Linked DNA regions of Oryctolagus cuniculus. The protein of the gene in region 1 interacts with the protein of each later gene in a pairwise test. Links are inferred from orthologs where the notes say so. Each region holds a gene or a part of one and is shown on either strand. Other genes may lie near its edges.

Region 1 (3,818 bases):
TAATGCACAAAGTGGCTAAGTATTAATTGAGAATGAAAAATGTAACCAGAAGCGCTACCACAGTAGTGAAAGTAAAAATACCGTTTGGGGGCTGGCATTGTGGCGAGGCAGGTTCACCTGGCACCTGCCGTGCCCGTATCCTGTACTGAAGGGCCTGTTTGAGTCCTGGTTAATCCACTTCTGATACAGCTTCCTAAAATGTACCTGGGAAAACAGCAGAGGATAGCCTGAGTCCCTGGGCCCCTGCACCCACATGGGACCCAGGACAGAGTTCCTGGCTCCTGGTTTTGCCTGGCCCAGCACCGGCTATTGAGGCCATTTGGAGAGTGAAGCACCAGAAGAAAGCAACCTCTCTGTCTCTCCTCCTCCCTCTCTCTCTCTACCCCACTCACTCTCTGTCACTCTGCCTTTCAAGTAATTTTTTTTTTTTTGACAGGCAGAGTTAGAGAGAGAAAGAGAGAAAGGTCTTCCTTCCGTTGCTCTTCCCCCACCGCTGCCCAAAATGGCCGCTACGGCCGGCGCTGCGCCGATCCAAAGCCAGGAGCCAGGTGCTTCTCCTGGTCTCCCATGCGGATGCAGGGCCCAAGCACTTGGGCCATCCTCCATTGCCTTCCCGGGCTACAGCAGAGAGCTAGACTGGAAGAGGAGCAACCGGGACTAGAAGCCGGGGGACTAGAACCTAGTACTCCACAGGCGGAGGATTAGCCACGTGAGCCGTGGCGCCAGCCCACGCTTAAACTTTTAGTTCATAATCAGAATGAAGGTGGAAGAGACTTCCCTGAGTCACAGCTGGTACCAGAGCGCTGGGGAGACTTGGGGAGCAGCGTGTGTGGCTTCCCCAGTGCAGCTGGTACCAGAGCGCTGGGGAGACTTGGGGGGCAGCGTGTGTGCCTTCCCCAGTGCAGCTGGTACCAGAGCGCTGGGGAGACTTGGGGAGCGGCGTGTGTGCCTTCCCCAGTGCAGCTGGTCGGGCTGTGATGCTGGAGCCACAGAGGCCGGCCGCCTGCTGCCAGACCTGTCGGCTTCACTCAATGTTTTTTCAGAGGGTGGAGCAGCCTACAAGCCAGACTTTCACTTTGACACCTGGTAACTTTTTTTTTCCATTTTATTTGAAAGGCACATAAACAGTTGGGGAGAGATCGCCTGCCCACTGGTTTACTGGTTCACTCCCCAGATGCCCACAACTGCTAGGCCGAGCCAGGAGCTGGGGACTCCAGTCAGGTCTCCGACGTGGGTGTCAGAGACCCAAGTACATGAGCTGCCTCCCAGGGCCTACATTAGCCGGAAGCTGGAGCCCAGTGCTCTGGCCCCAGATGTGGGGGACCCACACAGCCTCCTCACTGCTGTACCAGGTGCCTGCCCCAGGGTTGCTCTCAGTGTTCCCAGGAAGGCAGGAAGGGCTGCCATGGCCCTGTGGTGAGGTGAGGCCCGAGCCAACAGAAAGTGGTCGTCTTCAGTACTCCCGCTGACTTTAACTTGCACCTTTTAAGAGCTGCTAACTCTCCATATGCTGCAACAGGCCCACTCCTGGGTACATACCCCAAATGCATAAACATGTATCAGAGGGATACCTGCAGCACTGTTCCCAATAGCCAAAACACAGAACAGGGTGTGCATCAGCAGATGAGTGGACAAAAGAAAATGTGGTATATATACGCAGTGGAATATTATGCAGCTATGAACAAGAATGAAATTCTACCATCTGCATCCAGATGTGGATACAACTGGAGGACATCATGTTGCATGAAGTAAGCTGGACACAGAAAGACAAATAGCATATGTTCTCCCTTCTATGTGGGAGTTAAAACCAGAAAAAAAATCAAAACACACACCGAAAAAAGAAGAAATGCCTGTGTCTATCAGTATTGCTGCAAATATAGTTTTGTCAAACTGTTTCATCCCTTGTCAAACCAGTGTTTAAGAATGTCATACTACTAAAATTTTAATAATCTGTGATCACTTTAAACACAAAATAGAGCTACCAACTCTAGAAAACAATGTTACATGCTACTTAATTTAAAGAGCTTGAATAGAAGTAGACGTGGCTAAGCAGCGTTTGAATACGCAGGGGAGTTTTAGCTCAGAAATAAGACTGGGGGCCAGTGCTGTGGAGTAGGAGGTTAACCATGTGGGTGCTGGCCCAAGTCCCAGTTGTTCCACTTCCAGTCCAGCTCCCTGCTAATGCACCTGGGAAGAAGTGGAGGATGGTCCAAGTTCTTGGGAGACCCAGAAGAAGCTCCTGCCTACTGGCTTTGGCCTGGCCTAGCCCTGGCCATTGCAGCCATCTGGAGAATGAACCAGCAGATAGAAGATAACTCTCTCATTTCTTTCACTTCTCTCCCTCCCTCTCTCCCCCTCTCCCCTCCCCCTCTCCCCCTCTCCCTCTCTCTGTTTCTCTCCCTCTCTCCCCCTCTCCCTCCCTCTCTCCCCCTCTCCCTCCCTCCCTCTCTCCCTCTCTCCCCTCTCCCTCTCTCTCTCTCTCCCTCTCTCCCCCTCTCCCTCCCTCCCTCTCTCCCCCTCTCCCCTCCCCCTCTCCCGCTCTCCCCCTCTCCCTCCCCCTCCCTCTCCCCCTCCCTCCCTCCCTCCCCCCCCCCCCTTCTCCCTCTCCCCTCTCTCCCCAGAGCCAGGATGCAGTTCCTGGCTCGTGGTTTCAGCCTGGCCCAGCCTTGACATTTGGGGAGTGAACCATGGAGGATCTCTATGTCTCTGTTGCTCTTCCTTTCAAATAAATAAATTAATCTTAAAAATTATATATATTATAGCAGGTTTTTGTGCTCCTTTCTGATAAGAAGTTTATTAATCAAGTGAGAAGGAAAAGGCAAAGCATACACGTAACGATGATGCTAATTATGCCGCGGGCCACAGGGTAGATCAGACAGACTGGTGGCCGCCAGAGGTGCAGGAAGGAGGCCAGTCTTTGTGGACATGCAAGGTCTGTGCTGGCTCCCAGGGTGCACACATGGGACTGCCACACTGATCCTGCACGCGTCACATCTGTCTGCTCCTGGTCTGGTGTCAGCCAGACGGTCATGACGAAGAGGCAGTCAGTGCCGGGAATGGGTGATGGCTGGGATGCACAGGCCTCGCCCCCAGGCCTTGCAGCCTCCCGGGAGTCCGAGCTGTTATAGAACACTTCCTAGCCTCCCTTGAAACGGCTGGCAAACCAGAGCTGAAGGGCTGTGTGGCGTCATGTTTTGCTTCTTATGTCCTTGTAGGTTTCTTGTTTTCATGTTCAAGATGGTTTTCATGTTAAAGATGGTTGAATACGGAGTGATTTTAAGTCCTGTGTATTTTCTTCACGAGTCTGGAACTAAAGCCATCGGCCTTTTGCGTGAATCCGCACCAGCAGGGTTGTTTCTGTTTTTTAGTACGTGCCGAGAGTCGTAACTTCCGCACAGCAGAAGGCAGGGAGGACGATCACGGCCCGGATCACGGGGAAGTGCGACTTCGCCTCCAAGAACAGAGTCAACAGCAGCTTGGCTATCATGGGTGTTTCTCCGCCCGTGAGCTCCGTGGTCGTGGAGAAGCACCACCCAGTCACAGTGGTAAGCCGCGGGGGGCGGCCACTCTTCTCCCTGACAGTTCAGATGGACGGTCTGGTGACATCTGGAGTCGGAGTGGCGTGTGCTCTGCTGTTGCGGTTAGTCTTTCTGCACTGGCGTACGGTGATCAGATCTGCTGTAATCCGTTTCCTCGGGTAGGAAATCAGTTTCAAAGACGTTTCTTCCAGACAGTATAAAATATCAGTTACGAAAGGAATCTAGTGTGCCGGTGACCAGAGGGTAAGACATGCCAGGGATTTTTTTACTTTTTTTTTT
Region 2 (3,406 bases), on another chromosome or scaffold:
AAATTTTGCTCCAAAATAAACATATTTTAAATCTGTTTTTCCATGAACTTTTTGAAGAACACTCATCATTCTCCTGATTAGATCTACTATCCTCTGAAGAGCAGAACTGCTGGCAAACCAAGTAAAAAAAATTTCTAGAATTTGAGCATTTATCTCAATAGGACTTTACATGAAGTTTTAACTTAGATTTAGTTGTGACCAAAATATCTAGCCCCTTGAATAACTTTGTTGCCTATTTCCAAAACCTTAGTGAAAGCTTCCATCTTGGCAAACAGATTATATTATCTTCCCACAGTCACATTATTTAAATTTTCTCTAACTTCAATTATTTAAGAGTAGGCATCTTTATTTCAAAGCAAGAAAGAGTTAATTTATAAAAGAACAAGTAATATTATTTACACACATGCAAATCACAGTGAATTTACTAAAATGTATAAAATAGAGAACCAGAGAACTATCTGTATCTCAGACACTCTAATGTCTAAAGTACATCAGGGGTCGGGGGGGGGGGGCTCAATTACCTCCAGTTATGATGTTCTAAGAACAGGTAGGTGGATAGCGCCTTGTAATTAAGCAGTAATGAAATGGCTAAGTTATGTTCTAGTGCTATAATGCCTAAAACATTCATTGATCTTTTCAAGAACAGATAAGTAGCTTAAAATGTATTTGACATTTTTTACGATTGCTTAAATGAAGATCTTACTTTTGTAAATACTCAAAATTGTTAGCTTAACGTCTTCATCAAATTTTATTCAATAGCCCAGGTACACATAGTGGTCCTGCACTGCTCACAGTAGATAATTTATACACAAAGAATCATACATATGTGAGGAAGCCAGAAAATAGTCTAAATTGCACAGTTCACTACCACCCACAGGCAAGCCTATACTTTGGTACCTTTCCTGAGCTCAGTAAGTTCTTAAATCGCCATTCCAGTTTCCTTTAAATCAGTAGTTAAATGATTATGCTAGGATAATGGCTTCAACTGAAGAAATCATATATGAAGCAAGATCATCTAAGACCACCAAAGAAGTGACAAGGGAACCCTATTTCTGCTCGTCCCAAGAAGCTGTCCTGGTTTTAGTTTGATAGATGTCCACACTCGCGAGGAAAATAACGGATGCACTTTAACCTAATGTACTCCAGGTCTGCTCTTGAGAATTAAAAACCAAAACTCATGTTGCATGCATCTTTCAAAGTCTGTAATTGAGCTAGAGGTTTGGAAATTGATCAAGACAAATTAGGAGGAAAAAGAAGAGCTAGAGACAGCCACTGCCCTCAAAGTGACAGTCTCACAAAACTCGGGCGAATGGCGTCCCGTGCCAGCGACTTTAATAGAGGCTGGTCTTTTTCATGATCTTCAGAAACTCCTCCTCGTTCACCTCGCCGTCCCCGTCCCGATCAGCCTCGTCGATCATTTCCTGCAGCTCCTCATCCGTGAGGTTCTCGCCCAGCTCGTTGGCCACGCGCTTGAGGTTTTTGAAAGAGATCTTCCCCGTCTCGTCGTCATCAAAGAGCCGGAAAGCCTTCAGGATTTCTTCTTTGGTGTCCTTCTCGGCCATCTTCTGAGTCATCACAGCCAGGAAGTCGTTGAAGCTGATCTTCCCCGTGCCCTCCTTGTCCACCTCCGAGATCATTTTCTTGATCTCTTCCTTCCTGGGTTCGAAGCCCAGCGCCCTCATGGCCACCTTCAGCTCCTTCACGTCGATGGTGCCACTTCCATCGGCATCGAAGAGGTCAAACGCCTCTCGAACTTCTTGCTTCTGATCTTCAGTGAGTTCGGGCTTCGGACCCGACTTCTTCCTCTGGCTGGCGGGAGCCGAGTTCGGCTTCTTGAAGCTGGACGCCATCCTGGCCCGGCAGTTGTTAACGCTAACGCCGCCAGCGCTGCCGTTGCCACTGCGCCTGCGCCCAGGCGCCCCCACGAGGAGACGCGGGATGTCCCCGCGTTCATCCTCAAAGCGGAGCTCTGTCCCCGCTCCGGCGCAGGGAGCCCCTGCCGGCTAAGGCCTCCACATCTGGGAGATCTTATTTACGTTAACATCCACAGTCCCTGGGTTTATAACCGACTTTCCAGGAGTTGATTCCCGAGCTGGCCAGAACTGCCTGTAGCGCGTTGTCTTCCATAATTCACCGCTCGCTGGTCTTCTTTACGGGCCATTGGTTAGCATCCATCAAACCCATCAGGTTCATTTGGAAGTTCTTCCTCTCTCTCCTTTTCCATACTAATTTTAAAAACATTCTTGGTTTTGAGGTTACTGAAGGGCAAATTTAGGATAATCAAGATTAAGTTTGTTCACTTGGCATTAAATATGGGGAAGGAGAAGGGAAAGAGAATATTAAAAGTCATACCATGTGTTCAACTTGACATAAATGGAAAGCAGATAAAATGGAAAAAGTTATGTATACAATTTGTAGAAGTTTGTCTCCTGACATTACACTCAGCAATAATAAAACTCCTGGCATGTTCTCAAATATGAAATGTAATATCCAAATGTATGATTTATTTTTGGTGTTTCAATTTGACTTCGTATAATTGCACTTGAATAATGGTCCTAATTTCATTTACTAGGCTTTTGATTCGGAGGGAGAGTTGTAATACTGTATTCCAGTTTTCTGGTAGGTTTTTTTTTTTTTCAAACTCTGGCAGCACATTACTCTCTTACAGTTTAACATCCAATCAGGGTTGTGCTCAGCCGCATGCTCTGGGAGTCTTCCCTTGACAGTGGACAGAACAGGAGATGATGCAGAGCACATTAGGACTCAGAATTGGCTCCTGGAAACAAAGGGGTCCTCCTGGAAACCAGAGGAGCAATTGAAAAATGGAAGCTTTTCAGGTGAAAAAAAAAAAAAAAAAGAAAAAAAGTTACCAAATAAGCCCACAGAGGAATTCCCATCAGAATAGTTGCATATGTCTTTAAACAATATTTTTTAAAAAGATGACTTTAATTTGTTAGAATTCTTTGTCCAAAAAATCTGAATTTATCACTACTCAATCTGTTACAACAGAGGAAACTTGGAAGAGTTTTTGTATGCTCAGCACCTAGAACAGTGCTTAAATGTCACGTAATAGGTGGATTAACAAATATTTGTAGAATAAATGCATAACAATGCTATCCTGAAATACCTTCTGAACCATCAACATAAAGCAAACCAAAAAACCCCAAAAGATTAAACGATGCTGGAAGCGCTTTACAAGCTGTTTTTAAAATTTGTGGGCAGATATTGTTTCCATGGCGTGTGGTATAGTTGTGTTATAGTTGTCTGTTTCTCCCTCAAAGTTCCTGTGTTGGAGGCTTGGTGGGGTGGGGGTAGGGGGAGGTATGGGGAGGGGGTGAGACCTTTAAAAGGTGGGGCCTACTGAGAGGTCTTTAGGTCATTAGAGGTGCTGCCCTTAGGAAGGCAT

The links.
Region 2: the proteins of POC5 (region 1) and CETN1 interact in binary tests that used the Homo sapiens proteins (3 or more experiments, as listed by UniProt). The link is inferred for Oryctolagus cuniculus from reciprocal best matches to the Homo sapiens genes POC5 and CETN1.

What each region holds. Positions count from the first base shown.
Region 1 is NC_091445.1:714,331-718,148, reverse strand, and holds part of POC5 (centrosomal protein POC5), read left to right. Parts: intron 1-3,368; coding exon 3,369-3,545; exon of another isoform or gene 3,546-3,818. UniProt on the Homo sapiens protein: Essential for the assembly of the distal half of centrioles, required for centriole elongation. Acts as a negative regulator of centriole elongation.
Region 2 is NC_091441.1:57,199,235-57,202,640, reverse strand, and holds CETN1 (centrin-1), read right to left. Parts: upstream 1,912-3,406; 5' UTR 1,851-1,911; coding exon 1,332-1,850; 3' UTR 722-1,331; downstream 1-721. UniProt on the Homo sapiens protein: Plays a fundamental role in microtubule-organizing center structure and function. Plays a role in sperm cilia formation.